Ovis aries: one gene and its partners. The protein of the gene in region 7 interacts with the protein of the main gene of each other region in a pairwise test. Links are inferred from orthologs where the notes say so. Each region holds a gene or a part of one and is shown on either strand. Other genes may lie near its edges. The genes, in order: ENKD1, TRIM23, C1H1orf216, SH2D4A, HDAC4, CHIC2 and CDR2.

What was found.
Region 1: the proteins of CDR2 (region 7) and ENKD1 interact in binary tests that used the Homo sapiens proteins (3 or more experiments, as listed by UniProt). The two-hybrid records come from large-scale screens. The link is inferred for Ovis aries from reciprocal best matches to the Homo sapiens genes CDR2 and ENKD1.
Region 2: the proteins of CDR2 (region 7) and TRIM23 interact in binary tests that used the Homo sapiens proteins (3 or more experiments, as listed by UniProt). The two-hybrid records come from large-scale screens. The link is inferred for Ovis aries from reciprocal best matches to the Homo sapiens genes CDR2 and TRIM23.
Region 3: the proteins of CDR2 (region 7) and C1H1orf216 interact in binary tests that used the Homo sapiens proteins (3 or more experiments, as listed by UniProt). The two-hybrid records come from large-scale screens. The link is inferred for Ovis aries from reciprocal best matches to the Homo sapiens genes CDR2 and C1orf216.
Region 4: the proteins of CDR2 (region 7) and SH2D4A interact in binary tests that used the Homo sapiens proteins (3 or more experiments, as listed by UniProt). The two-hybrid records come from large-scale screens. The link is inferred for Ovis aries from reciprocal best matches to the Homo sapiens genes CDR2 and SH2D4A.
Region 5: the proteins of CDR2 (region 7) and HDAC4 interact in binary tests that used the Homo sapiens proteins (3 or more experiments, as listed by UniProt). The two-hybrid records come from large-scale screens. The link is inferred for Ovis aries from reciprocal best matches to the Homo sapiens genes CDR2 and HDAC4.
Region 6: the proteins of CDR2 (region 7) and CHIC2 interact in binary tests that used the Homo sapiens proteins (3 or more experiments, as listed by UniProt). The link is inferred for Ovis aries from reciprocal best matches to the Homo sapiens genes CDR2 and CHIC2.

Annotation. Positions count from the first base shown.
Region 1 is NC_056067.1:34,775,357-34,780,204, reverse strand, and holds the start of ENKD1 (enkurin domain-containing protein 1), read left to right. Parts: upstream 1-1,872; 5' UTR 1,873-1,932; exon of another isoform or gene 1,933-1,977; intron 1,978-2,158; 5' UTR 2,159-2,173; coding exon 2,174-2,258; intron 2,259-2,343; coding exon 2,344-2,544; intron 2,545-3,085; coding exon 3,086-3,258; intron 3,259-4,280; coding exon 4,281-4,406; intron 4,407-4,494; coding exon 4,495-4,658; intron 4,659-4,758; coding exon 4,759-4,848. Other genes in the region: C14H16orf86 (uncharacterized protein C16orf86 homolog), read right to left, coding at 30-439, 541-788, 1,128-1,354, 1,548-1,652. UniProt on the Homo sapiens protein: Microtubule-binding protein which regulates microtubule organization and stability. Promotes the stability of astral microtubules and facilitates the proper orientation of the mitotic spindle.
Region 2 is NC_056069.1:14,081,254-14,086,063, forward strand, and holds the end of TRIM23 (E3 ubiquitin-protein ligase TRIM23), read left to right. Parts: intron 1-1,504; coding exon 1,505-1,684; 3' UTR 1,685-4,090; downstream 4,091-4,810.
Region 3 is NC_056054.1:10,673,884-10,678,606, reverse strand, and holds the start of C1H1orf216 (UPF0500 protein C1orf216 homolog), read left to right. Parts: upstream 1-1,715; 5' UTR 1,716-1,878; intron 1,879-4,067; 5' UTR 4,068-4,072; coding exon 4,073-4,723.
Region 4 is NC_056079.1:37,575,760-37,579,002, reverse strand, and holds part of SH2D4A (SH2 domain-containing protein 4A), read left to right. Parts: intron 1-2,510; coding exon 2,511-2,731; intron 2,732-3,243. UniProt on the Homo sapiens protein: Inhibits estrogen-induced cell proliferation by competing with PLCG for binding to ESR1, blocking the effect of estrogen on PLCG and repressing estrogen-induced proliferation. May play a role in T-cell development and function.
Region 5 is NC_056054.1:2,403,409-2,407,562, forward strand, and holds part of HDAC4 (histone deacetylase 4), read left to right. Parts: intron 1-1,247; coding exon 1,248-1,332; intron 1,333-2,261; coding exon 2,262-2,403; intron 2,404-2,825; coding exon 2,826-2,868; 3' UTR 2,869-4,154. UniProt on the Homo sapiens protein: Responsible for the deacetylation of lysine residues on the N-terminal part of the core histones (H2A, H2B, H3 and H4).
Region 6 is NC_056059.1:70,246,444-70,250,597, reverse strand, and holds part of CHIC2 (cysteine-rich hydrophobic domain-containing protein 2), read left to right. Parts: intron 1-1,259; coding exon 1,260-1,316; intron 1,317-1,482; coding exon 1,483-1,542; intron 1,543-4,154.
Region 7 is NC_056077.1:20,572,247-20,576,400, forward strand, and holds part of CDR2 (cerebellar degeneration-related protein 2), read right to left. Parts: exon of another isoform or gene 3,945-4,154; intron 1,859-3,944; coding exon 1,746-1,858; intron 1-1,745.

The DNA of each region.
Region 1 (4,848 bases), on a different chromosome or scaffold from region 7:
AGGGAGTCATGGGGTGGGGGTCAGGATAATCACTTGTACTGAGGAGAGAGTGGGGGGACAAGCGGGGCATTGCAGACACTTAGCATCTTGTTGATGTCCACCTGAGTTGACTTGTCCATCTCAGCCTTGAGGCAACCGCTTACCCCCAAGCTGGGCAGACCCCCAGGCTCCTCACTGGCTTCCTCCCCCAGGGGAACCAGAGTGTGGGTCGGGGGCACAAACATACTGGGGCAGGGCAGAGTGAGGTCGGAGCCCAGCTCACCTGCCACTGGCAGCAATGCCTGCAGTTGCTCCACACCCGCCTCCTCGGGGACCACTGTCAGCTCTGACTCAGGCTCCACCTCAGCCTCAGCCTCCCTGTCCCCCTCCCCTGCCTGGTTCAGTTCAGGGTTGCAATAGTTGATGTACTGGTACAGGGGCCGCAGGCGCTGGGCCTTTCCTACAAGAACCCAGGGCAGGGCAATGACTGGAGTGCCAAGCTGGGCTGTGTTGGGTCCAGCTGGCTGGGACAAAAGGGAAGGCTCAGGAAATGCCACTCACGCTCAGGCCCCAAGGTCACTGAGGGTGCCGACACCGTGCTGGCCACCACTGGGAGCACTGGGGTTCCCAGACTCTTGCGCTTCTTGGTCTTTTTGTGCTGTTTGGCAGATGGTGAGGGCTCATTCTGATTATTCTCCGGCTCTTCCCTCTGCAGCGACAGCCCCTGTGGCAACTCACTCTCTGCCCTAGGATGGGCTTGGTGGCTCGGGCCTGTGAGGCTGGGGAACAAGGAGGCCTGAGGAGCCAGCCTGCAGCCTTGGCTCCTGTGCCCTGTCCTAGGGAACAGTCCTGCCTGCCTACCTCCCCAGGCCGTGATCCTTGTCCTTTTCCTGGTCAGTGAGGCCCTGGACTGGACAGGGACCCAGAGATCATGGGAGTTCAGTCCCCTACCAGGCCTTGAGACTTTTGCTCTGCATGTTCCCTACATCAGGGCTCTGGAGGGTCAGCAGAGGTGAGGAATGATGGTGGTGTCAGGGGATAAGGATGGACACTACTGTAAGGCCCCATTTAAGAATCCAACTGGGGTATGAGCCACCCCCACACCACCTCCCCAGTTCCCAGTCTCTTCCCTCTGAAAGCCCCCTCACTTGACCGGCTTCCTCTTCGGACCATGACTGGGCCTCACAGTGGAGGCCGTAGGCCTGGGACCTCTCTCCTCCAGGGCCTCCACCTCTGGTTTGTGCCTGTCTTCCTCCAGCTTGAGTCTCTCCTGGATCTTTGGCTCTGAGGTGGATCTTATTGGACATTTATCTTCATCCTGGGTTTGGCAGGCCTCATGGGCTGGCACCAGGCCCTGGTCTCCCATCACTGGACACTAGCGGTGACACACAGGTAACTGGTCACCATGGCCAGGTAAAGGATACAGGGACCAGCCATTAGACTCTAAATACTCTGGATGAAGGGCACCAGCCCATGCCCCTCCCAGCCTGTGGAACCTGGCCTGGCAGTTTTGGTCTATTAAAGCGCTATGACCCAAGTGTTTGAAGGTTAGACAGCCCGATGGTCACCTCAGAATTCTGAGCATGGCCACCAGGCATCTCTGTAAGCTGTGACTGCCCCACGGCTGCCCCTTCTTGGGCCCCTGGCCGCTTCTCAGCCCCTGCGGAGTCCATAGCTGCGGCGGATCAGCACTTCCTCGACGGTTGCTTGAGGGGCATTGGGGATGGAGGGCGGATCCTGAGGGGCCAGACTAGTAGACCCTGAGCGGACCCGGGAGAGGACCGGATTGGGAAGGGCAACTGACAGTCGTTCTGCTCCCCCCTCAGCTGGAACTACAGGCCCCAGAAGGCTTTGCGCCAAGGCCATTGGCCCCTGACCTCACGGACGGAAACCATTGTTGCCTGGCAACAGCAAACCCGTCGGGTGGCGGCAGTGGGCGGCAAAACCGCTCTGGTGAGCCCCTTGCCCGAGTGAGAAGCCTGCCAACGGTACTGAGAGGTGGGCTGAGAGCAGAGGTGGCGAGCGCAGGCCGGGGCCGGGAGGCGGGGTGGGGGCCGGGAACGCAGGCAGGGCACGGCTGAGGTTAGGACCCGGGGCCAGGGAGGAGGCACTGGGCTGAGAAGCCGGGTTTGGAGCCAGAGACGCGTAGCCCGGCAGGCCTCAGGTGCAACGTTTGCAGGACGGCGGCGGCGGTATGTGTGAGGGTCCGTCCCGCATCTCGGGGCCCATCCCCCCAGACCCTACGCTCTGTCCGGACTACTACCGGAGGCCGTCTTCGGGTGAGTTAGGGAGTGAAAGCGGCCTGGCAAGGGTCGGGCCCAGCTCCACCACTGACTCCGCACTCTGCCCCGTCTGGCCTCTCAGCCCAAGGGCGCCTTGAGGGAAACGCGCCGAAGTTGGACCTGCTGACGACGGATACGGACCCGGACCTAGACGCCACCCCTCCCCGCGCCCCTCGCATCCGTCCGGGAGGCCTAGAAATCCTGGAGCGTGGCCGTCGCGGCGTGGGTGGTGTGCTGCTGCAGCTCGGGGGTATCTCCCTAGGCCCAGGGGCCTCTCCCAAGAGTAAGTTCTGGTCAGAACGGACAGCGAGGCGGCTCTGAAGTCAAAACAGATAAAAAGACGGCTGCTTCCCCTTCCCTGCTCTGGGCTCAGGCTTTACCTCTCAGAGTGTCTGTTTCCCCAACTGTAGAAGGAGCGGGAAATGCACGACTTCTTCGCAGGAGAGGACTAAATGAGGCATACCCCGGAAAAGCCCGTAGCTCAGCTTCATGGATTTATGCATGGTTGGTTGTTGAGTGTCTGCTGTGCTCCAGGCCCTATGGGTGCTAGGAGAACAAGGTCGAAGAAGCGCATCATTGAATCAAGGTGGGAGACAGTAAAACAAGTGAAGAGGTGAATAGGATATGCAAGGTGATTACTAGTATACTTCATAATCAAATATGTATAAAATCATCAGAAACAGAAGATAATTATGGTGTGAGGACGAGAACAAGGTTATGTGGTGGACTTTAGAGTATGTCAGGGAGGCAGGGTGTGGGCTTGTGTGTCCACTGGGGTAAGTTGGATTGTATGGGCTGTATGTAGGGCAACATCTTTTCTCCAGGGAAGGACCCTAAAGACCATGAGAAGGAGAACATGAGGCGGATCAGGGAAATCCAGAGGCGCTTCCGTGAGCAGGAGCACAGCCAGGAGCAGGCCCAATCCAGGCCCCTGAAGGCCCTGTGGCGCTCACCCAAGTATGACAAAGTGGAGTCGCGTGTCAAGGCTCAGCTGCAGGTACCTGCCTCAGGGAGCCCCAAGTGTTGCCCGTCTTGTTGGCCAACAGGACATTATACTCTGACTTGAGTTATGAGGAGGGAGGAAACCCACAGTGGGCTGAGGTCACAGGGGATGAAGAGCTGGTCCTGCTGCAGAGTGGGGCTGTGGCCTTTCTCTGAAGTGATGACAGCTGGGTGATTCTGAGGGGCAAGTCGGAATTAGGCAAGGGGAGAATAGAGGAGAACATTTTATAGAAATGGAACCTTGTGGTTCCAGGGTCCCTGGTCCTAACACCAGGGACTTAGGAGTGTGGGCAGTGGGGATGCTGTGTTCAGTTCACTATGAGGGAGGAAGAACATGAGGTTAGGCTAAGAAGTCAGCTGGACCCACATCATAAAGGGCCACATAAATCCATTTTTTTAAACCTTTATTTCTAAGGACAATGGGAAGGGCAGGGGTATGTATGGTGGTAAGATTCTATCTGGGGTAGCTAGTGGTGCCACTTCTCTTTCCAGGGGTCTGAGAAGGAGAAGTAGGACAGAAAAAAAGACAAGGTCATATGTGGGTGTGTTGAAGCTGAAGCTTTTGTGGGGCTTCCAGGGAGTGGGAATGTGTCCAAGAGGCAGATGGAGAATCAGGTCTGGATCTCAGAAGTGAGACCCAGGAGCTATTGAGGACGAGGCTGAGGATAGTGAAACCAGGGAAGTGACCCTGGATTTGGGGGCTTGGAGACCAGCTGTTGGTGGCCTTGGTAGGGACAGAGCCAGAAAGCTTGACTAGGAAGGAGAGAAAAAGAGAACGATGACTGAAGCCAGGACTGAGGTAGAGGGAGGGAAATATGTTTTCTGAGAGATGTGAAAAACACACAGGTTTAAATGCTGATGTGATGGAAGTACTTATTCAAGAGGAAGGAGGCCAGGTCCAGAGGACTGGTGATAGAGAAAGATCCTGAAAGACAGGAGGGACAGAGGCATGGTCTTACAGCTTGAGACCCTGACTTCAGCCTGACTGACCACCCCCCGCTCTGCCTTGGCCTCCAGGAGCCCGGCCCTGCCTCTAGAACTGAGCCAGCCCACTTTCTGCGGGCCCATTCCCGTTGCGGCCCCGGGCTCCCACCACCCCGTGTCCCCAGTCCCCAGCTAACCCTACCAGGTCCCAATGCTAAGGTGAGAGGATATGTGGGGGCTGGGAGGTGGGGCAGGGATTCCGGGGCACCACACAGTGCTGTTTCATCATGCTGGCCATGTCCCGCAGGCCCCAGGTCTGGGTGTGGACTTCATTATGCACAATGCCCGCACTGCCAAGAGGGCCCCCCGGCGGCATTCTCGCTCGCTGCAAGTCCTGGCACAGGTGCTGGAGCAGCAACGGCAAGCCCAGGAGCACTACAACGCCACGCAGAAGGGTCACGTGCCCCATTAGTAGGTCCTACTGCTCCCCCCACTCCTGGGAAGGGGCACTTATGGAGGGTGGAAGCCCACGTCTGCCTAGGGTCATCAGCCCTGGGTCTGTGCATCACAGCTTGTTGGAGCGCAGGGACCTGTGGCGGCGGGAGGCTGAGGCCCGTCAGCACAGCCAACCAGACCCAGCCATGCCCCCTGGCCACACTCG
Region 2 (4,810 bases), on a different chromosome or scaffold from region 7:
GTATGTATTTAAAAATATGTTTACATCCATGTGTATGTATATGTAATAGCACATAAGCACATATTTTCAATTTAAATATTCAGTATAAGACTGGTTAAGAAAATTATGTTACACCTGTTGCTGCTGCGGCTACTAAGTCGCTTCAGTCATGTCCGACTCTGTGCGACCCCATAGACGGCAGCCCACCAGGCTCTGCCGTCCCTGGGATTCTCCAGGCAAGAAACTGGAGTGGGTTGCCATTTCCTTCTCCAATGCATGAAAGTGAAGTCGCTCAGTCGTGCCCGACTGTTAGCGATCCCATGGACTGCAGCCTACCAGGCTCCTCCGTCCATGGGATTTTCCAGGCAAGAGTACTGAAGTGGGGTGCCATTGCCCTCTCTGATGTTACACCTACAGTGGAATGCAATATAGAAGTTAAAAATACTGGTGGAAAGTTTTTTCTGCTTGTTCTGATAATGGAAATGTATCTTTATTTTTCAATATATGTGTTAAAAAAAAAAAACCTAGGGTGTGTACTGTTCATTTACATGAGTGTGCGTGGAAGTTTTCTGGAAAAATATGAAAGCAATTGTTACTGTTGGTTGCTTCTGGGAAGAAGGGTATTCAGTGCTGTTTGGAGAGTTTTTTGTTGTTGTTGGCCATGCTGCACAGCTTGCAGGATCTTAGTTCCCTGACTAGGGACTGAACCTGGGTCCCCGGCGGTGAAAGCATTGAGTCCTAACCACTGGACTGTCAGAGAATTCCTTGGGTGAGTTTAATAAACTCTTTATAAACCCTACGTAAGAGCCATTTCTTACGATACATGTGTATTAATTTCCTTTTAAGTAGATGCCTTATAGTGAGATGGGCAGTATTTTTTATTCAGGGGCAGAGCCTTCATTGATTTCATTGCAAGACTATTGCCTGGTGGTCCAGTGGTTAAGAATCTGGCTTGCAGTGCAGGGGATGCTGGTTCGATCCCTGGTTGGGAAACTAAGATCCCTCATGCTGTGGAGCAGCTAAAACTGTGTGCCAGGACTAGAGTCCATGTGCTACAACGAAGGATCCCACATGACACAATGATGATCCTATGAGCTGATGCAGCCACATATTTTTTTTTAAAAGACTGTTCTTACAAACTGTTATTACCAAAACAATTCTTTTTCTATTCTCATTAATCTCTGAATGATTATTGAAAGTTGAATTTAGGCTTCTGTTAAAATGATACCAGGGACTTCCCTGGTGGCTCAGATGGTAAAGCATCTGTCTACAATGCGGGAGACCTGGGTTTGATCCCTGGGTGGGGAAGATTCCCTGGAGAAGGAAATGGCAACCCACTCCAGTACTCTTGCCTAGAAAATCCCATGGCTTCTCTGTCCATGGGGTCGCAAAGAGTTGGACATGACTGAGCGACTTCACTTTCACTTTCAAATGATACCAGCAGAATTGTATATAGCAATAATTACAAAAATGCTAATTTTCATAGACTTATGCAAAAATTTTTTAATGTGTATATATCTTTTAGGATGTTGCTGGAGCTCTGTCAGTAGAAGAAATCACTGAGCTTCTTAGTCTCCATAAATTGTGCTGTGGCCGAAGCTGGTATATTCAGGGCTGTGATGCTCGAAGTGGTATGGGACTGTATGAAGGATTGGACTGGCTCTCACGCCAACTTGTGGCTGCTGGAGTGTTGGACGTTGCCTGATTTTAAATGTAGCAGTTGTTTAAAGTTTTGTGGTTAAGAGTTATTTTGCACATAATATGATGTAAGAAATTCTACATCTGAAAGTTAATTTACAATGTATATATTAATATAAAAGGAGTCTTGGATTGGGAATTCAGTACAATATTACTTTTAAAAACTAGTAAAATTTAAATAGCTGATTGAGCAGATTAAATTGGATTGAACAGGGATTTACTGGGTATACATTTTTTTTAAACATACATTTGTTAAGTTTTTCAGATTACACGTGTACACACAGATTATTTAGCACACACACATGCACATTCTACTTACTGTTGGTACTACTGTTATGAAAAACTGGGATCCATTAGTATTCAGTCCAGCATTGGGAAGTAAGTAGTCACAGTGAAAGAGCAGGTGAAGGTTTATTCACTCAAGGAAGAATAGCCAACCAAGTGTCTAGTGAACCAGAGGTTCTGTTGAACCTCTGTATGAAGTGAAGCATGGCTTCTTAACTTGCCTTTTCACTGGATTTTGGCAGTATTCGGTAGCAAAAAAGGCAATGACTTAATGAAATAAAATCCAAACTGCATCTTTGGATAATAGGATTACTTTAATGTTCAGTATAACAGAACATCTTTAATGCTAAGAACTATAAGCTATAGAAGATTAATATTTTATACAGTATTTTATTAAAGCTCTCTTAAAGCCTTTTGTATAAAACCCAATGAGTTAGACTGAAATGTAATCCTACTAGGCCTGATATCAGATTAGTACTACACTGAAGAACAATTAATAAAAAACTGTGAAAGTCAGTTATATTCTAGTTGATCTTCACTTGTGAAAAGACTGATTTGCAGAGCTGAACCTGGATATATTATTTCCAAGGTCAGAGTTCTAAATTCGTCCTTCTATTTTTCAATATAAAGTACCTAGTAGTACTTTTTATTATTTTAAAAATAATATTGCATCTTTAAGGAGAATGACTATAGGTAAAATGTAGTAAGTTACATACAGAAGCCAGTGTTGGTCTTACATAAAAGGTAGAGATCTAAGTAGAAATTATCTCTACCTCAAGAGAAGTTATTTAAGCAGTAGAAATGATTACCTTAAAATGTTTTCCCAAAATAAGTGCATTTATTTAAACAATAAAATGTGATCAAGGATTTTCATGACAAGGCCTTAAGAGGTTTTTTGAGAGAAACATGTCTACAAAAGGAAAAGAAGAAATGTGTAACAAATTTGTATCACATTTATTACAGGGTTGTGAGTAAAAAAAGTGTGCGCTCTTTACTGTTTTTCATTTTTTAAGGAAACTCCCTTATGGCAGTCTAATTTTATATTTAAAAATACCTAGATTCGGTTTTATAGGTTGTTTTTTTTTAAAATGCTCTGTATACTTTAGATGAAGTGCTTCCCAGGGGGCTCTTTCATAAAGAATCTACATGCCATCGTAGGAGACACGGGTTCAGTCCCTGGGTTGGGAAGATCCCCTGGAGATGGGAATGGCAGCCCACTCCAGTGTTCTTGCCTGGAGAATCCCATGGACAGAGGAGCCTGGTGGGCTACTGTCCATGGGGTCACAAAGAGTCAGGCATGACTGATCACATACTTTAGGATGAAGTTAAATCCTTATGATGGCTGATGACAAGATGTGACTTCTGGGTAGCACTGTTTTGGTTCAGTCTCTTCAAATATAATTCGTTTAAAAACAACAAAACTTTTAGAAAACAAAGCATTAAAAGTCTGTCAGTTATGGGCAGTGTGTAAATAAGTAAATGTAATATTTCATCCTTTATTTTTCAAGTAAAAGGTCATGCTGTTACAAGTGTAGTTTGTGCATATAATACTTCTGAATTAAATTAATATTTGATTGCAGTAACTGTGAAAAATAAAAGTATTACATTTGCCTGTGATCCCTTGAACTGTTTTGTCTACTAGGTAATTCAAAAACAGTCTAACACTAATGTGTAAACTTGCTTTTTTCTGTAAATTTATTTTACCTGTTTTGCTTGACTTTTAAATCACATTCCTAGCATATTTCTACAACACAATTTAAAAATTGTGCTTAGACCTGATTATAATGTATCTAGTAGTAGTATTTATTATTTTTTCAAGAATTTTTTTCAGGCTCTTATTTTTATCTCTGGTTGTACTTTCACTAATTATTAGCAAGACTGCGCTAGTTCCCTCTGGGAAATGTCAAACTTCAGAGGTTTTAAATACAGTCTATTTGGATTTGCCTCCTGGCACTGAATTTCTGTATTAAGCTAAATACTATTGTATAGTTTATGTCAAGCAGGTTTTTCAAGTGTATAGTCTTGGTCTATAATTCTGGAATGCTTTATAATCACCACAAGCCATTATTTACATTATACAAATCATCAGTATGGATAGCAATAAAATGTTAAGATCACTTTAAAGAAATCCTATCATCTTTCTAAAAATTCTTGAATCATCCTGAATCATCTATATAGCAGTATTGCTAGTAACCAACTAAAGTCATATTTGTGCTGTGGTTAAGAGAAACAAAACAAAATGGGATAGGGATTGAATGTCAAATTGAGATCGTTTATTAAAAATTTAGAAATGTTATTTTTTATTTGCAACTTAAGTCACATTTAAATGTATATTAAAACTGTAGTGTTTTTTAAAGGAGAGCTAAAATTCTACACTGACTAAAGTGAAATAATTGCTTTAAAAATTTTAAATTTAACTTGTTTCACACAGAATATCATATTTTAAATAGCTGTTTTCAGAAAAGGCCTTGGGAAACCTCGTTATATCCTGAGCTAACATTGCTAAAAGAAAGACTTTTTATGTAACACTGAGATACTTCTCAATTTGCAAGGAGGTAATAAGGAAGAAAATAGCTATACTTTTCCCTATAAAGAGTAATAAATGAAAAGAACTAATGAGTAAGTATTAGTATCTTGCTAATAGTTTAAAACATGCTTTAAAATAGACATATGGCAATGTATGTTTTTGAGGTCTGATTATGGTAAATTTGTGACATGGAATGGAAAAATTCATTAATCAAACATGATTTCCCTCAAAGCAAAAATAAATTCTATTTTGGGGAGGATGAGGCATCACCACCACCATTTGTTGGCAGTTATTACCCAAAATTTAGGATTAAGCTTTTAT
Region 3 (4,723 bases), on a different chromosome or scaffold from region 7:
AATGAGTATTCAGGGTTGATTTCCCTTAAGATTGATTGGTTTGATCTCCTTGCTGTACAGGGACTTTCAAGAGTCTTCCCTAGCACCACAGTTCGAAGCCATCAATTCTTTGGAGCTCTGCCTTCTTTATGGTCCAGCTCTCAGAACCATACAAGACCACCAGGAAGACCACAGCCTTGACTATTCGAATCTTTGTTGGTAGAGTAATGTCTCTGCTTTCCAACACACTGTCTAGGTTTGCCATAGCATTGCTGCCAAGAAGCAATCATCTTCTGATTTCATGGCTGCAGTCACCATCCATAGCGACGTTAGAGCCCAAGAAGAGGAAATCTGTCACTACTTCCACATTTTCCCCTTCTATTTGTCATGAAGTAATGGGGCTGGATGCCATGATCTTAGTTTTTTTAATATTTAGTTTTAAGCCGGCTCTTTCTCTCTCCTCCTTTACCGTCATCCAGAGTCTCCTCAGTACCTCATCACTTTCTGCCATTAGAGTGGTATCATCTGTATATCTGAGTTGTTGATATTTCTCCCACCTATCTTGATTCCAGCTCATAACTCATCCAGCCTGGCATTTCCCATGATGTGCTCAGTATATAAATTAAACAGAATGACAGCAGACAGCCCTGCTGTGCTGATTTCTCCATCTTGAGTCAATCAGTTGTTCCATACAGGGTTCTAACTGTCACTTCTTGACCCACATAAAGGTTTCTCAGGAGACACTTAAGACGTCTGGTGTTCCGGTCTCTTTAAGAGCTTTCCACAGTTTGTTATGATCCACACAGTCAAAGGCTTTAGCATAGTCAATGAAACAGAAGTAGATGTTTTTCTGGAATTCCTTTGCTTTCTCTATGATCCAGTGAATGCTGGCAATTTGATCTCTGGTTCCTCTGCCTTTCCAGGGTTTTTAAACGTATTATGATTGAAAGATGAATCATATTTAATTGGTGGCATGGAGGGGGTAGCATGAGAAAGGTATAAGCAAATTGCTGGGTTTACTCAGTAAAGCTGTGGGTATGGAAGGGACCTCCTGGAAGCTCACTTGCCCTAAAGGCTAAATTTGTCACAGACGTCTTTCCGGGGCTGCCTCTCCCTGAGGGCAGCCAGTGCTTTTTGGTTTTATCATTAGAGTCGGCAATTATTCTGTTAATTAAGTGACTTTAATGAAATAAGCACAAAACGAACATATAATTTCAAATTGTGGAAAAAAAAAAAAAAAGCCTTGGGATAATATAATAAGGGGAACTGTCTGCTTAGGAGGTCAGAGAAGGTTTACCTGAGAAGAGATCTGAGATTTGAGAGGAGAGAGAATTTTAAGCAGAGGGAACAGTGCGGCAGAAAGGAGCGCGAGGCTGCTCAGCTGCAGAACCCAAGGGCAAAGGCTGAAGCCGGAGAGCAAGATGCTGAGCCCCACTGCGGCTTGCCTTAAGGATTTAAGCGGTAATGCGGAAGCCACTGATGGCTTTTAGGCTGGAGGGTGGTGATGACACGATCAGATTTTCATTCTGAAAATGTCACTGTGAGGCAAACCGATCGGGGAGACACAGTGAATGCAGTTAAGAAATTAAACAGGACCTGCAAGTCTCAGTCCAGGCTGCCGGAGGCGGGGGAGGAGGTTCCGGCGCTCGGACCTGCGAGCGGCTTCGCAGAAAACCGAACCGGCCCACGTGGGCCAGGCCGCCCCGCCCCGCCGCGCTGACGCCGCCCGACTCCGCAGTCCAGGCCTGGGCTGGGCGCAGCGCCCGGGAACCCGCACCCCACGCCCCGACCCGCGGGGACGCCCAGGCCGAGGGACCACCTCCCCAGCCCCGAGGGAGCAGTTCCTGCCGCGGGGACCGAGCCACCGGAGCCAGCCGGGCGGGGCGGCGCCTCCAGGCCGTGAGTCGGGGCCGGAGCGGGAGGGTTTAGACCCCAGCCGCAAGGGGCGGGGGTCGTTGCCTCTGCCCAGCTGCTTTTTGCTGGTCGGGGGGGTTGGGGGGAGGATTAGGGAAGGATGGTCTGGATCCTCTGTCTCCTGGGGATGGTATCCCTTTCCCGCAAGTCTAGGCAGGAACGGAAGCCGCCTTCGCTCATCCCTACCACCACCCCCCAGCCCCCCCACCTCCCACCTTCACCATCCCCGCCCCACCGCACCCACCCCCGACAAATTGCGGATTAGCTTGGCGAGAAGCCTGATGCCAGGGTCTCTCGGCTCCCATTTTACCTTCCCTGAGAACCCCTTGATCTTTAGCACCGCCCCCACCTCCTTCCAGCTTGCTTCACGGCCCCGCCCAAGTTTAGAAAAAAAGAAAACATTTGGGCGGGACCATCTCCTGGCACCTCGCTTAGCGGGATGGAGTCTGTAGGTTTCCAAGGGACTGTCCCTACACCGTTGCCCCCAGGACTTCTTGCCAGTACTGTGCTGGATGTGGGGAGGGGCCCTGCCACATTCACTGACACTCCCCCTTACTCTTACTGATTCCGTTTTTCTAATCCTAGTAATTTACAGTCAGGAGAAACTTCTTGTCAATTTAAATTCAGATCTGGGGAGAAGTCGGTTATTGGGAAGGAAAGAATAATGTGGTGTGTCCTCTCTCCATGGCCTCAGGATGGAGCAAGATAGAGGCAGGGACCCGGGATAGTAATAAACATGGAAGGAAGGGGTGAAGCCAGAAGAGAGGCTTGTCAGTGGGAGAAGGGCTTCCTCACTGGGCAGTGGAGGGAACCCAACCCAGCTCTCCCAGCCCTGAGCTGTCAGCAGCCCGGATCCAACTGCCCTATTCACTCACTCAGCAAGGAGGTACTGCCACCTGCTCAGTGCCAGGTTCTGTGCTGGGTCCTGAACATGGTAGAGGTTATAGAGAGGAATTCCATGTCCAGTAGTGGGGCCAGGAGGCTGCTATGACAAGATAGAGGAAAGTTTATAGACATTTACTGACCATCAACTATGTGCCAGGGACAAGAAACGAACAGGCATAAGACTGCATGTATCCAAGCAGTGAGGACCCAGAGGAAGGCACAGTTGGCTGTGTGTTTGTGTATACAGGATACAGGAGCAGCGGGGAGAACGTCAGGATGGTTTCAGGAAGGTGGGGATTTTAGAGCCGAATCTTAGCATACAAAGACTTCCCTGTGGCTCTGCTCTGTAAAGAATCTGCCTGCAGTGCGGGAGACCTGGGTTCCATCCCTGGGCTGGGAAGATCCCCTGAAGAAGGGAAAGGCTGCCCACTCCAGTATTCTGGCCTGGAGAATTCTGTGGACTGTATAGTCCATAGGGCCGGCTTTCACTTCACTTAGTGTATGAAAAAGAATCTGCCGGTGGAAAAGGGAAGAGCTGGGAGGGAAGGGGAGAGGAAGTATATGTTGGGCCAAGGGGATTGTGGAAGGAGAATAATGGTGTGTTCTGAGATCTCTGAGCAGTTTGGGATGGTGGGAGGGGCTGAGAGTGGTAAGAGACAGGTCTGAAGCAGTGAGCAGGAGCCAGAAGAAACACAGCCTCTTAGGCCAGGAAGAGGTTTAGCAGGAGGTTAGGGCAGGAGCCATGACAAATTTACATTTTAAATTAGAGGCAGAGAGGTCAGTGAAAAGTCATAGCAGTCAGTAATCCAGTTTAGAGGTGGCCCACACCAAGAGAAAGGGGAGATGTTTGCACACGAGCGTGCACGTGTGAATGCCTGCAGTTTCCGGTTGCTGTGACAGGAGAGTGGGCCTGCTTGGCTAAGGACACTGAACAGGGAGCAGGGCAGGCCGTGCAGACTCTGAGGAGCCTGTGGTTGGTTGCAGAATTCAGCAGCAGTTGGATCTGACTCCCTGTCAGATCCGAGAGCCACCAACACATGGAAGTTCTCGAACCTCCAGCAGAAGATGAGGTCATCTGGGGAGAAGTGCCTACAAGGAGAGGACAGCTTGCCTCAGGGCCGAGGGAGAACCCTGTGAGGAGACTGAGAATCGGCAGAGAGGGAAGAGGACAGCCACCAAGGGAGGTGTTAGCAGAGTCAAGGCAAAGGGGTGTCTGTTGCTAGGTTCTCTCGACTTCAGGCGCCCTACCCTCGCCTGCTCTGACTCATTCTTCTGCTTCCCCCTTACAGACCAGATGTTCGCCATCCAGCCAGGGGTAGCTGAGGGGGGTCAGTTCCTGGGGGGCCCGCCTCCTGGAGTATGTCCACCCGAACTTCAACCAGACAGCAACTCCAACTTCATGAGTGCCAAGGACGCCAATGAGAATTGGCACGGGCTGCCAGGCCAAGTGGAGCCCGTACTATTGAGGAGCTCCTCCGAGTTGCCCTCTGACAACCAGGATTTCCAGGCTCCTGGACTCCCTGAGGGGGAGATCCGCAGCCCACCGGAGGGGGCAGAGATTCCTGGAGCTGGGTCTGAGAAGACGGGTGGTGCCAGCACAGTCTGCTCCCCGCTGGAGGACAATGGCTATGCCAGCAGCTCCCTGAGCGTTGACAGCCCTAGCCGCAGCCCTGAGTCTGCCTGTGGGACGCCTCCTGGCCCTCCAGGCCACCTTCTGCCCTCGGTGGCCCAGGCCGTGCAGCAGCTGCAGGCTCAGGAGCGCTACAAAGAGCAGGAGAAGGAGAAGCACCACGCGCACTTGGTGATGTACCGCCGCCTGGCCCTGCTCCAGTGGATCCGGGGCCTGCAGCACCAGTTGGTCGACCAGCAGGCCCGTCTGCAGGAGAGCTTTGACACCATTCTAGATAACCGGAAGGAGCTTATCCGCTGTCTCCAACAGAGGGCA
Region 4 (3,243 bases), on a different chromosome or scaffold from region 7:
GGCCCTGGGCAGGCTGGTCACTGGTGGCCTGGGTTCAGCCTCCAATGCCCGCAGTGGGACCGGGTGTGTAGAAGGTGAAACGGGCAGGAAGGAGCAGTTGCCGCGGGGATGCTCACGTGGGTATTAGTTGGGCGCCTGACATGGACACCCGGCAGCGACCCCAGGGGCTCCTCAGTCACAGCGCCTGCTGTGTCCAGCACCTCAGTCTCATCAGGAAAGGGCAGGAAGGCGACTGGACTCAGCGGCCTGCGGGACGGGGTCCTGGCAGAGCCTGGATGCCAGAGGAGCGGCCGCCTGCTTCTTTCCTCGCAGGCGCGTTTCCTGTCCATGAGGGGCTGGCCGCAGGCCCTGCTATTGCCCCGCGTCGCCCTGGAGCTGAGCCCCCACACCCAGACGTGCGGGTTCAGGCCCAGCGGGGGAGACGAGGCCCGGGGAGCGGATGATCTCTAATCCTCCCTTCTCAAAGGTCTGCTTACAGAAAAGAACACAAATGGTTTCATTTGACGTTTTACACTGGATCCTTAGGTTTAATTCTCAATTAACTTTACTAACTTTAGTCTTGTCAGACTGAAGAGCTGTGATAATCCATTGCCTTCTCACCAGGAGGCCTTTGGGTTTCTCTCTAATCGTAATACCGAATGTCAGCATGGAAGAGGCAGGAGGTTCCATCTGCTGACGCAGGAAACGTTGCCCTCTGGCCAGAGCTCAGAGCAGCTGACCATCCTGCCAGCACGTATCTGCACACTTCCTCTCTGTCTTATCACGTCGTGGGCTCACCTGAGGAATTACAGATGAGGAGGAGCAAGCAGGGGAACCGGGAGCATGGGTCAGACCTGAGCAATCAGTGTGGACTAATTGGGGAAGGCTGGTCTTGAATTCCTGTGAATTCATGAGGCATCCAAACTATGCGTGTGTAGCATAACACGTGTGTGTGTGTGTGTTTGAAGAGTGGCATCCTTTTGAGCATCTGTGAAGACACAGATAGTACGCATATACACACATGGGGCTTCCCTGGTGGCTCATCTGGTAAAGGATCCGCCTGCAATGCAGGAGACCTCAGTTCAACTTCTGGGTCGGGAAGATCTGCTGGAGAAGAGATAGGCTACCCACTCCAGTACTCTTGGGCTTCCCTGGTGGCTCAGACAGTAAAGAATCCACCCGCAAGGCAGGAATCTGAGTTCGATCGCTGGGTTGGGAAGATCCCCTGGAGGAGGGCATGGCAACCCACTCCGGGGTTCTTGCCTGGAGAATCCCATGAGCAGAGGAGCCTGCGGGCTACAGTCCATGGTGTCGCAAAGAGTCGGACATGACTGAGCGACTAAGTACAGCACATATACACGCGTGTGTGCGCATGCCTGCATCTCTTGCGTCATTCCGTTAAATGAAGCCTCATTTAGGAGTAGTCACAGCAAAGGACACTGTCACTAACTCGCTGACCCCTGACCAGGGTGCCCGCCTTCGGCACTGTCAGCCTTTGGCACTGGATCACTGTCTATAGTGAGGCTGTTCTGTGAGCAGTGGGAGGTTTGGCAGCATCCCTGCCTCCATGCACTGGAGAAGACTAGAGCCACCCCCACCCCCCAGCCCCGGTGTCTGAGACGTTTCCAGACATCGCTCCAGTGAGAACTCCCACTGCAGATCTTGTAGGATCATCCCCAGGCCCCAGGGTCCCCATCAGTCAACTTGGGAGAGCTCACCCTCCCAGGATGACTGTCAACGGTCCTACCCCTCAGAAGCCACATGACGCCCATGCTTGTCACTGGGTGGAGACGTGTTCTGAGGGGCGAGCGTTCCATTCGTACTGCATACGCGGCAAGTCGCTTCAGCGGGGCCCAACTCTTTGTGATGCTATAGACTGTAGCCCGCCAGGCTCCTCTTTCCATGGGGATTCTCCAGGCAAGAATATTGGAGCGGGTTGCCATGCCCTCCTCCAGGGAATCTTCCCCACCCAGGGATCAAACCCAGGTTTCTTATGCTTCCTGCATTGGCAGGCGGGTTCTTTACCTCTAGCACCACCCTGGGAAGCCCTCCATTTGTACTACACATTTGCTTATGGAACCTACCCCATCCCAGAGAAGGCAATGGCACCCGACTCCAGTACTCTTGCTTGGACAATCCCATGGATGGAGGAGCCTGGAAGGCTGTAGTCCATGGAGTCACTGAGGGTCGGACACGACTGAGCGATTTCACTTTCACTTTTCACTTTCATGCGTTGGAGAAGGAAATGGCAACCCACTCCAGTGTTCTTGCCTGGAGAATCCCAGGGACGGGGGAGCCTGGTGGGCTGCCGTCTATGGGGTTGCACAGAGTCGGACACGACTGAAGTGACTTAGCAGCAACCCCATCCCAGGTACCAAATACCAGATGACGAACCACAGTACTGCTCCAAGGAAACCCAGTGTGGACTTAGGGCTGCTCAGGTTCTTACTGGCTTTATCCACACGGCTGTGTTTAGCAGAGGGAAGCTCTGGAAATGATGTGGCTGAAACCCCTGCCCTTCTTTCCCACAGGAATCCTCACCGTAAACAGAGCGAACGAGCTTCTGAGCACCTGCGTGCCGGGCAGCTTTCTGATCCGGGTCAACGAGAAGGTCAAGGGCTACGCCCTGTCCTACCAGTCTGAGGACGGCTGCAAGCACTTCCTCATAGATGCCTCCTTGGACTCATACAGCTTCCTGGGCGTGGACCAGCTGCAGCACGCCAGCCTGGCCGAGCTGGTGGAGTACCACAAGGTGCGGCCCCGTGCACACGTCGCTCGCTCGGTGACGGGTGTCCTGCAGCTGCTCTGACAGTGAAAGGCGGTTCCACGGAAGACAGCTGAGACGAGCAGGGGAGATCAGCCCCCCGCTTCTGTAACTCCTCCCGATAATAGTGCTCATGCTCAATTGTGTCCGACTCTCTGTGACACCACGGACTGTAGCCTGCCGGGCTCCTCTGTCCATGGGGATTCTCCGGGCAAGAATACTGGAGTGGGTTGACATTTCTTCTTCCAGGGGATCTTCCCGACCCAGGGAGCAAACCCACATCTCCTCCACCTCCTGCATTAGCAGGCGAATTCTTTTAACCGCTGAGCCATGTGGGTAACCTTCCCGATAACAAGGATTGTTAATTGCACCTCCTTTATCACTGAACCTGGTCCCTCCTCATCAGGGAGAACCCACTGGGGCAGAGAATGCACGAGATGATGCAAAATCTGTGCACTCCGATCACATCTGAGAACACTTTTTTTTTAAACGTATAGTTG
Region 5 (4,154 bases), on a different chromosome or scaffold from region 7:
GACTGTGGCCGCGGGGCTGGGGTGGGTGGGAAGAGAGAAATAACCTGGGAAAGCTTGACCCGTGAGACCTTCTCCAAAGGAAACTGTAGGAGCTTCAGGCAGGACGACAGCCCGGGCAGCTGTCTGTTGAGCAAGACGGAGGTGTCAGTGCAGGAAAGCCCGAATCAACAGGAACTCCAGGAGACAGTAACAACGATGCCACGTCAGTGAAAGTCAAGAAGGAGGCAGAGTGAGGGCCGCGAGCCCTCAGTCAGGGGCGACAGGGAATTCGGCCGGGCCCTGGAGCGGGGGCTGCCTGTACTGCAAATAAACATGGGGAACGCTGGCTGCAGTGCACTTGTGAGGAGCAAGTACTTTGTGATCGGTTTAGCCCGCGTGCTGGGCGGCTCTGTGGCAGACACCCGGCGTGCCCTGTGGCCGTCAGGCAGGTGGGCCGTGTGCGCCTCCCCACTCCACCTGCGGCAGGGACTTCAGGGAGAGCTCGGAGCAGAGATGCTCACACCCTCTGTCTACCTTTTCTCTGATCATTGGAAGAAAACCCTGAAGGGCAGATGTGCTTGTCGCTCAGTTGTGTCTGACTCTTTGTGACGCCCTGGACCATAACCCGCCAGGCCTCTCTGTCCATGGGATTTCCCAGGCAAGAATACTGGACTGGGTTGCCATTTCCTCCTTCAAGGGATCTTCCTGACCCAGGGATCAAACCCACATCTGCTGCTTGGCAGGCGGATTCTTTACCGCTGAGCCACCAGGGAGGCCCAAAGTGGGGATATTCAAGCCCTGTCTATAAAACCCTTGTTGACAAGTGTGATGAAACTGATGTTTCCGAAAAGTCATCATCCCTTCCCCTGACGCTGTGCCGTGCATCCAGCGGTGGAGCCCATGCTGCCACCCCTCTGCGCCAGCTGCCTCTGGACACCAGCTAGTGTCCTGCCCACACGGGCACCCACGAACGTACCCGAGAGCCTCCTAGGGGAAACACCTTAAGGAAAATAAGTTTACTTCTGTGAAAACATTTATGTAATGCCACAACCACCTCTGGCTTTTTCAAGCTGTCTTCTCTGTTAGCACGTGCACGTGAGGAAGACACTGATCTGGACGTCCCATCTGAACACGCACGGGGATTCTATGATCCGGACGTCCCATCTGAACACGCACGGGGATTCTATGATCCAGACGTCCCATCCAAACATGCACAGGGACTCTACTGATGGCCTCGAACTCACCGTGTATTCTTCTTTCATCCCCAGCTCGATCCTCTCCCAGAAAAGGTCTTACAGCAGAGACCCAACGCCAACGCCGTGCGGTCGATGGAGAAGGTCATTGAAATCCACAGTAAGTTGCCTGGCCCAGGGCTCAGCAAGGAGACCCCCCCCAAGGGAGGGGCCCGACTCCACAGCCCTTCTCCCACCCCCCATACCGCCCCCACCCCCTGCTTCTCTCTCACTGCCAGCAGCGTCCCCAGGCCCGCCTGTTGAGACCTGGCTTTCAGGGCGAATGTGATGAGCTGGTGACTCTCCTCTCACCCCGCTTGACGTCCCAACAACCTGCCACAGCCAAGTCACCAGCTCTGCTTTGTGGGGCAGAAGCGCTGTGGTTCAGGGGGTGTGTGAGGTCCCTTCTCCAGGCTCCCCACTGACAGGCTGGGACCCGCATGGAAGCCTGTGTCCTCGGGTCTGGCCTCTGCCCTTGGACCAGCAAACCCCACTCCATCAGTTCAGGGTACCCTTGGCCCAAAGACCAGCCCTGCCCCTCGAGCGATGGGGCCCAGGAGCCCAGGGGCTGCACACGGACTTCTGCCCCGCCTTTATCCTGGGTCTGCGGGGTGGCCCAGTCGCCAGTGTCCGTGTCCATGGGCGGGACCCAGGGTCTCCTGCTGTGCACTGAGCTCCTGGCCTCCTGAATGAGGAGCCCTGAGGCCCAGGAGACACCGGGAGGCTGCCTGCTCCCACCCCCATCATCTCGGGACTCCAGCAGGGAGTCAGGGAGTGCTCGTCCCAGCCGCCCCACCCTGAGGGAGGGACCCTCCCTGGAGCCCACCCCCACCCAGGTGTCCTGCCCCTGAAGGGCCCAGTTCTCCTGGTCACGGGGAAGCTTTTCCAGACTGCCACCCTCTGTGAGTTTCTAACCAGGCCACCTCGTGGCTTCTGTCTCTGGAGAGCGTGGTGCTTTGGAGTCACCAGCGATGGGTGCTGCTGGAGCCCCGTGGGCCCAAGCACAGGGATGGGGTCCCGTATCTGAGCAGTCACCCGCCCCTTCCGCAGGCCAGTACTGGCGCTCCCTGCAGAGGCTCGCCTCCACCGCTGGCTACTCCCTGGTCGAGGCCCAGAAGTGTGAGAACGAGGAAGCCGAGACTGTCACTGCCATGGCCTCGCTGTCTGTGGCCGTGAAGGCCCCTGAGAAGAGGTGAGCACGGACACTGGCCGGCGGTGGGTGCTGCCGCCATCTGCGGGTGACCCGGGTCTTTGCTCCCGGGTGTATTGGGGGCACGTGCTAGCTCAGCAGGGCGGGGAGTGGGTGAGCTCAGCAGGGCCTCACCCTCGCCCCAGGGCAGACTGCACCACACCTCTTCCCAGAAGCAAGAGCCTGAGAAAGACTTGAAGGGCGTCTGGGCCAGAAGGAACACTTCCCTAGGGGAAGAGTGGGGGTCGCTGAGAGTTGAGGGGGCGGGGGTGGCTAGGAGTCGGGGCGGGGTAGCTAGGAGATGGGGGTGGAGGTGGCTCGGGGTTGGGGGCGGGGATGCCTCGGAGTTGGGGGGCAGAGATAGCTAGGAACCTTGCACATCCACCCTCTCCTCTGTTGCCACCCCGCCCGCCCGCCCGCCCCAGCAGACCCGACGAGGAGCCCATGGAAGAGGAGCCGCCTCTGTAGCCGCTCCCGCAGCTGCGGGTCTCTTGTTTGTCTGTCTCCGTCTTGAAGCTCCGCCGAGAAAAGTTGCTGCCGCCCTGCGTCCTGCCGGCCTCCTCCGAGCCCGCGGGCGCGGCGGGGCGAGCCGCAGCCGGCGGCCCTCTGCCTGCCGGACCCGGGCAGACGTCGGGACGCGCCGACACACGGACGTGCGGGAGCGGGCGCTCCGGGCCCCGCAGGGCAGCCGCGGAGGGAGGGAGCCCGCGGGGGCTCGGGGCAGAGCCGCCTGCCGAGCGAGCCGACCCGAGGAAAAGAAAATGAAAATCAAAGATCTCACGACACAAAACAAACTTGATTAAAACTGGTGCTTACGGTTTGGTGATTCCCCACAATCCCACAGTCTCCGTGTAAACCACTCAACTCATTCTGTAGCTTATTTCTTTTCAGAGAAGAGTCAGCCGCTCCGGCGCTGGCCTGCCCCTGCGCACCGCGGGTGCGCGGTGGGGCTGGGACACGGAGCGGGCGAGCGTTTAAGGAAAAAAAAAAAACTGGACAAAAGCAGAAATGTGAGCCCGTGCGGCTTTGGTTTCTCAAAGCCGACGGAAGATGCGCGTTTGTGCCTTTTTTTTTTATTGCTCTGATGGATTTTTGTGGCTGGGTTTTCCGAAGTCCGAGGAACAATGCCTTAAGAAAAATAAACAGCAGGAGTCGGTGGGACCGCTCCCTGTGGCCGGTGGGGCCGGAGGCCGGCTCGCACTGGCCTGGCGCTTCACAAGTGGTCCCCGCCTCGGCCAGCAGCTCTGGAGGGCTGAGGTCCTGCCACCCTGTTTCGCTTTATTGCTGTTGAAGAAAAATGGAGGTAGTTCCAAAATAGTGGCAAATACTGTTGGGGGTTTCGAAGTCCAACAAATTTTAAATGAATCCAAAGTGTTCTTTTTCTCGTACATCATATAACAATTGAGCATCTCCATTTGGTTGTGAAGCATGTCCTAGGCACACTTTCAGTGTTACGATCGGAATGCTTTTTATTAAAAGCAAGTAGCATGAAGTATTGCTTAAAATTTTAGGTATAAATAAATATATATATGTATAATATATATTCCAATGTATTCCAAGCTAAGAAACTTGATTCTTATGAAATCTTGATAAAATATTTATAATGCATTTATAGAAAAAGTATATATATATAAAATAAATGCAGATTGTAAAGGTCCCTGGCGAATGAACGGCTTGTGACTCAGCTCTCAAGGTGCTTGTGGAAAGGGATCTAGTTTGAAGCTCATGTTATTTCTGAACTCCAGATTGGAGAG
Region 6 (4,154 bases), on a different chromosome or scaffold from region 7:
TTTCCTTTAAAATTCTTGCCAAAAAAACTGTTCAAAAAAGTAATGTAATAAATTAGTCATTGGCATATTATTACCCAGGGAGTTAGTTGAGTTTCTGATTTTTTTGACATAAGCTTGGAAAATGTAAGGCAGTAAGTGGTAGTTACGAATTATAATTGGCACCTCTGTGTCTGTGGTGTGTATTTAGCATGTTCCACATGCTAGAAGGTAATATGGTAACTAGATTACAGTAGATACCTTAAATAGATATTAAACATTTTATTATGTAACATTAGAGTATTCAAAATCAGCTTGGTCATAACAATTTTTCACCTCACTCATCCTTGCTTGATAGTCACATTTTCATATTTGATGATTAGTACTTACTTAGTTGTGCCACATTAATGGAGCTGGATGCTTTTTTCCTTTCCTTGCAAGGAAGCTGCAGCTGCAGCAAGTTGCATTTTCTTCTTGTGGCAACACTGTCCTGTTTGCACCTGCAGCTGTGTCAGTCTCATCCTAACACCTGGCACCATGAATTATCCTCCTCTTTATTCCTCCCCAAGCAAGAAACATTTCATGCTGCATAGTGTACACTGCAAAAATCAAGTGACCTTCTGTATAAATTTCTTAGTTGATACCTTTAACAGTAGTATTGAATAAAGTTTGATTTTCAAATGAAACCAATTTTATTTGAAAACCAACAAAAATGATTGGATTAAATGCAGTTTTGCCTGTGAAAATCTTTGTAAAATAATAAATAAGCTTAGTTTTAAAATTTGGACATTATTTTTAAGTATGATATAAAAATTAGTTTGATTTGATATAGATTGATATTTTTTATTAACTTTTAATCATTTCCTTTTTAAATTTAGACTAAAGACCCTTTTCATTTTGTTAATGTATAAATAGCTTTGTTTTAAAATATGTATTAAGGTATTCTTATTACTACTAAATATTACGGAAATATTTTTGAAAGAAATGGGGATTTAAATTTGTATTTTTTAGTGGATAACATTAGCTTTTTAGACTTAAATAAATCAGAGACTAGTAAGTATGAAACAGTTAAAAAATACAATGCCCCAAACCATATCTTTATCAAAACAGAGTCCTATTTCTGTTCAGGCTACTATTTAGTGCTAGAATGTTGCTAGTGTTATAGACCACTCTATACTCAGTCACTGTCTTATATCTCTTTCCTTTTCACACAAAAAACAGCTGCAAAACCACGTTTTTCTAAAACCAGTCAGGAGTAAACTTTTTTCTCATTTGTCTTCTAGACACGAAGATCGATTGAGAAGTTATTAGAATGGGAAAACAATAGGTTATACCACAAGGTGAGTACCACGGGGAGCAGCTTCGTACTGTTGAGGTCTGAACTGCACAGTATGGAAACAGATGCTTTTGTTGAACTAAAAATATGAAAGATGGACAAATGGGTTAGTCTGTGTGCTGCAATAAAATAGAGCTCATTTTTCTTCTTTTACTCTCCTACTTGTCTAGCTGTGCTTGCACTGGAGACTGAGCAAAAGGAAATGTGAAACGAATAACATGATGGAATATGTAAGTTAAAGGGCTGTTTTGTGAGTTTCTCTATTAAATGATCATTTATTTTGCTTCTGATCTTATTCTTTCCATGATTATTAATCAGCAAAGGTGTCAGAAGCTTAATCTCCTGAGTGCAAGGATTTTTTACGGTTCACAGATGCATGGTTTCATGTGCAAGACTGATTTATAAAGTTATGAATGACTTGAAAACAAGGCTTCACTGTGTTCTGAAAAATAATAAATTAATTGCCAAGATAAAATAGGCTGAACATGTGTTGATGGAGTGTGAAATTTTAGATGCTGTATAAAGAATAACCACAACTTTGGTTACGCAGCAAGTCAGATATGGCTTTTTTATATAATGCTAATCAGGTTTCCAAGTATGGAAGAAAACCTTTCAGCCAAGCCACTGGAGCTTAAGAAACCTTTAGCCTTTATAGATTTTAACTGCCCATACCTCAGTGGCCTTTAAAGAATCTTTCAAAGTGTTGTTGGGATATTATTCTGTAAAAAGTATCTTAAAAGTAAACAGGAGATAAGATGTTGCTCACCCAGTAATTTATTCTTTAAAAGATATCTAATGGGTATGTGTATACAGTCAGTTTTAGAGCTTAGAATGGGATTTAATTTACCAGCTACTTGCTTTACTTGAAAATTTTTTCTCAGTTTGAAAAGTTCAGAATACTATAGAAAAAGTGTGAATTTTTATTCTCCCTTGAGCCTGGATGTTTTGTGTTAAGTATGAAAAGATTAATATATGAAAAGAAGAAGAACTGAGCATGGGGTTGAGTATCTAGCACATCATTTCTGACAAATTTTGTCTATTCTTTGACACAGAATAGCCATCATAGGTAGCATGTGTGTGTGTGTATGTGTGTATAAAAGATTAATGAAAACAGTGCCTGGATACTGGAAATAGTTGGAAATTATCATAAAATCATTTTTCTCTGTAGCATTTTCTCTTTCTTTCATTATCACACAATCAAATCCCATTTCTAGCCGTGAACATAAAAGATGTCTTTAAAATGTCTCTTTTTTCATAGAATAGCTCTATTCAGTGAACTAAATAATGTAGATTTTATCATTATCTATTATATCAAACATGTTAATTTATGATGGTAAAAAGGCACTTGATACTTTTGTATAATAATAAAAGCACATTCGAATAACTTGTTTTGAGATTGACCTATGAAAATACTAGGCTTGTATTTTCATCATAGATGAAAACTCACTGGTGAGAGAGTTTATGTATTTTGTGAGAAGAAATGGATATATAAGTGATTTAAAGGATTTTGTGAAAAAATATTTGCTATATTTATAAACCCAAACACTCAGCTTATTAATAAAATAGAAGCTTTTATTTATTTATTTAGCACACTTCTAAATTTACTTTGGAAAGCAAAGCATAAAAGTATTCCCAATACTATTATTTCCAGATAGAACTGTAAGATCATTCATAAAATATGCTCATTCTCTTTAATGTTTATATTTATGATGTTGTAGTATTAATTAATTGGCAACCCACTCCAGTATTCTTGCCTAGAGAATCCCAGGGATGGGGGAGCCTGGTGGGCTGCTGTCTGTGGGGTCACACAGAGTCGGACATGACTGAAGCGACTTAGCAGCAGCAGCAGCAGTATTAATTAAAATAATGTAACCTTCCAAAACATTCTGAACTTATATGCTCTGTAAAATATGTGCTCTTATTGCTCTGTTAAATTGTCATTAATTTTTAGATAAACAACTTTTGTACTAAAGCCATTATATTTTCTTACCATCATAGAAAATATCTAGAAGAGTAGTTTTTTAAAAACTTAAAAATTACTTTAAAATGTATTTTTCTTCAGTTTTCTTGGAGTGTGTATGCGTGTGTGTATGTGTATTTATGACAGTTGAGTGGAGGAAAAACATAATTTTAAAAACTCCCTACAAATAGTTTTGCAAAGTTAAAATAGAAATAATCTGTATATCTGTATGACTTCAAATTTTCTTTAATTTACAGAAATTTCATTTGTTAGCTAAAGGGAAATATTTCTCCTTGACTATGTTTTGAATATTGGAGTAAATTTATGAAATAGACCAAATTTTCTTTTATTCAGATATGGCAGAAGAAATGAGACAAATGGTTAACTTCTGTGTATGGCTTCTGAAGGGAAAAAGTTTGTAGGATATATTCTTTTAAAACTAGTAATAATTCAGATAGTCAAAGATATCTTTTACTATTCATTGTGCAATATAGACTGGAAAATATAATTTAGTCATCAAATTTTAGAGCTAGAAAGAAATCTTGCCATCTCTCCAATCCTTTCATTTTATAGGTGAGGACACTGAAAAACAGAGGATTCTAGCTCAAATAAAGAAGCTGGGTAGGAAGCTAGTGAACATTTTGTAGGCAAATAATAGGTCAGGAGAGTAACACAGGGGCACCAAATGATGAGTCAGCTAGGGGAGGAGTATATTGGAGCCATGTATAGAAATACCTTCTTTTTTGAGGCAGGTCAAAAATCAGGAGAACTAAAGAGTGAAAATGAAGATTTGTGGCTCAGATGACTAAATGTAGAAAAGTACCCAAACATAGAGGTCATATCAAGACAGTTTCTAAAAAGACTGAGGAGTTCCTCAAACTG
Region 7 (4,154 bases):
TAAGGAAAAAAAATCTTACAGAAGACATTAGATAGTGGAGTGTTATTTATAGATTTGGATAATCTCAAAGATCTTTGGATTTTTTTCAGAATGTCAATGATCTCTTTTAATTGTTTAATCATTTTCAATACCACGGAAAACAAAAGTAGAAAGACAGGTAACTTAGATCATAAAGCAATTGTGTTTGTAATCCTTACAGTAACAAATAGGCATCATTCTCTAATTATACAAATACTTGGACTTTTTAAATCTGTATTTGGCAGATGTGCTAAAATAAGTATTCACTACAGTATTCAGTTATGGTGATTTGTAGGTGCTTTCATGGAAAACACCAATACAAGGTATGAAGACTATTCAAATAAACGTACCACACAGTACATGATAATCTTCAGGTATATGCCCTGGGATCACGCTATGAAACCTTCCAATCAGTTGAAAAACAAAGCCCACAAAACAAAACAGGAATGAGTTTCTTGATCATGTAAGACACTTGGATATCACAGTTTTAAAATGCCTGGTTTTCCTGCATTTTTAGGTTTCTGCCCAATTCTATGAGTGATAAACTCAACTTTAGGTATGGGAAGTTCTATGCTCTTCTGATATAGAATATACTTAAAATGATAGCTGACGACTTCAATATCATTACAAGGCACACCTTTCTAGAATTATAAAAGCATTTTTTGTCACATCACTGGCTAAATCCATAAACCCTGAGATGGGGGAGGGGAATCTACTGTATGCGTCTTAATTATGATCACTATGTAAAAGTAAGAATACAGAAATGATAAATTTGTCTTAGTTTTAATGACAGGTTTATTTGTATTCAAAAACGGAAATCTGTAATTTCGACTGAAGTCAAGGACTATGTCATCTACTCTGCCTTTCTAGCACCTGGTTCAGTGTGCAATCAGAGCCTAGTAAGTTCTGACCATGATGAATGGGTTCTGCGTTCTAAGGTCTTCTACGTTTTCCTGCACAGAGACTTATAAGAGTCCTGGTTCTACTGTATCAATTTGAGAGGAAGGAGCTACAATTTAAGTGCAAGACTTTTTTAAGGTGGGAGGGTAGTCTGGGGCATGAAATGTTCTGATGGACAATTGTTTGGTTAATATCCATAACTATCATCTTTACAGTCACCTGGCCTACACATAGTTGGGCTACATTAATGGGACCATTTACAAGACAGCACTTCCATTTTAAAGCCTTGAGCTTACATCTTTCATATCAGGTACTACAATTTTAAAATTTTTCATCAAATTTAGGATGGTGTTTGGTTAAGGGGAGGGGATGCAGCCAAGCAGGGTTTACAGAGGGAGTCTCAACAGACAGTTTTCTTTCTCAGTCTGGTTGGTGGGTACAAGGCTACCCACTATATTTTTCTCTTGTACCTCTTTGCAAATCTTAAATATTACATAATTCATTTTTAAAAGAAAAAAAAAAACTAAATGTAATATTCACAGCTTTACTTTGCTTCACATATTGGTAAATACTGGACCATTTACTTCTAAGTAGACTTCACCAAGGGGGTAGAGAGAAATGTCTTTCATCATAGCAGATTTATGTACTGAGAAAGCTTAAAGACAGTAAAAATCAACCTCTATACACTTTCCATGGTTCTTTATACTTAAAAAGTCTATGTTATAAACATTACTTTTAATTGCAAGCGTTACTTAAGTAGAATACAATTGGTATAAGAGCAGAGACAGCCAATACCGCAAAAGTAACTCTCCCGTTGAGTAAATTACCTCGATTTCCTGTAACTGCTCCTGATTGGTTGTGTACATCTGCTGAAGAGAATCCTCCAACTCTGTGTTTCGATCCAGCAATGTCTTCCCAAGCTCAGCTGCAAGTTGGAGGTCTAGCACAACAAGAAATCCTATTAGGGGAGTGCAAACGATCTCATCTCAACATTTTACATAAGCCAGGGCTTAGAGTAGGAACGGACTGAAACCCAACCCATGTACAAAGTTTACCTTAGATCCCAGTGGAAGATGGAATGGCTCAGAAGGAAACCCAGATTCTACTTAAAGTTCAGTGACAATGGGGCCTTTTACCAGGTACTGTACTCTTGAGGTACCCTTACTGACAAGATGTCAAGAATAGTGATGTACTTTATGGAGGTGTATGCATTTGTTTAGGAATGATCATTCAGCATTGTGACAGAATCTAAGTTCATAATTAGTTGTCAAAGTGCAGGCAAACCTGAAGTCCCACGAGTTTGGCTGCCATGAATACAACTGTCAAAGCAAGTGTGTTACAGACCCTGGCCTTCTCAGCGTACTAAAACTTAAGCCAAAAAAAGGAAAATGACATCAGTGATAAGAACACTACCGCAGGCCTCTCTCATTTTTTCTATTTATTTTCATGCCTTCTTCAAGATGAGCAAACCAGATAAGCAAAGCAGCAGAACAGTTTGTGTGGTAACTCACTCATAGCTCAGACTTTCATTTAACACAGAACCATATTTCCATTTTAAACCTCGCTTTTCAACACTCTCTCTTCTTAGGCGTATGTGCATATATGACAGCATTAGTTTTGTTACACACAATCCCAGAAACAAAAATTCACTGATACAAAAAAGGACAACAGTTGTAACATAGGTGCCTGAAACACTTTTCTGCATAGTAAGTTGGAGAGGTCCTTTGATAACAGTGGAAAATGCACTGAACTGAGTAGGAAAATTTGGAGTTCAGTTCTGGCTGCCGTTTACCAAGTGAACGCTTTAAACAGTGACTTTAAACATCCCTACATGTAGTATTCTTGTGTAGAGAGATGACTGTCCTGTCAATACGATCGTGAAAATCAAATGAAATAATACACAAGGAAGTACTTTACAAACTATGCAACAGTACACAGGCAAAGTTATTAGTCTTCATTGATTCACAAGTGAATGACCTTGTTGCTGACTGCCATAGCACAACGAAAGTGTGAGCTATGACTGAGTTACCACACAAACTATACTGCTGCTTTGTTGCTAGACACCATGCTAAGATTTGGCTAGAATGCTGAATAAATGGATGAAGTTCCTGCTTTCCTGACACTGCCAGGTTTACAGGGGAAGTCAGACAGCAAATAAGTAAATAAACTTGAAAACTGTGATAATCACTATTCATACATGTATGCATATATTCAATAATACCAAACATCATTCTGGGGATATACAAGTGAACTCAGCTAACGCCCTGACCTCATGGAGCTTATACTCTCATGGGAGAAACAGCATGAGAAAATAGACACTAGATAGCAAAAAAATGTTGTTTTTTTTTTTTTTAAAAAAAAGGAAGGAAGAGGGAAGGAGGAGTATGGACGTGGGAGGCTGAAATTTAAGAACAGGCAACAAGGGTGATATTAGACTCCAGATGTGAAGGACTGAATAAGTGCCTCACGTAGGTCTACTGAGGGGACCAGCATTGGAGGCCGAGGGAAAAGAAGAGCAAAGACCCTGGGAGGAAGCATGACTGGCGATAATAAGGACTGCAGCCAATGAGGCTTGAGCACATCGCGTGCGTCTGCGTGCATTTTGTGGCTGGGGCAGGAGGAGACAAAGAGGGCTTCCAGGCCAGCTTGTTAAAGCCAAACTACAGAGATCAAGATGCTGGTTTTCACTGAGTGAAAGGGAAGGCTTTTGATCAGCTCCACTCTGGCCGTTGGGTAAGTCGGCCAAAGAGACTAAGGTGGCGGCAGGATGACAGGGATACTGCAGTCACCTGGGTGAGAGATCATGGTGGCTTAGACTAGAGCGGCAGAGTTGGAGATGAGCAGAAGTGGCAAATACCGGCTGTGTTTTGAAAGTAGAGCTAAAAGGATTTGTTAATCAATTGGATGTGCTATGTGATAGAGAAGAAAAAAAAAACCTCCAGGTTTTGTGATAAGGAACAAAGGATTTTCTACTTTAGAAAAGGAGGTCATGATGGAAGTCTCTCTTAGAAGACGTTTTAGCTAAAGCTTGAGGGAGGAGGATTTTACCACATAAACGGCAGGAAGAAGCCCTAACACAGGAAAGAAACTGGCACACTGTATGGCCCAACATGGCTCATAGTTTCATGTCTGAAATGCAGTACTTGGTTGCAATCTCAAAAACGACAGAATGATCTCTGTTCATTTCCAAGGCAAGCCATTCAATACCACAGTAATCCAAGTCTATGCCCCAACCA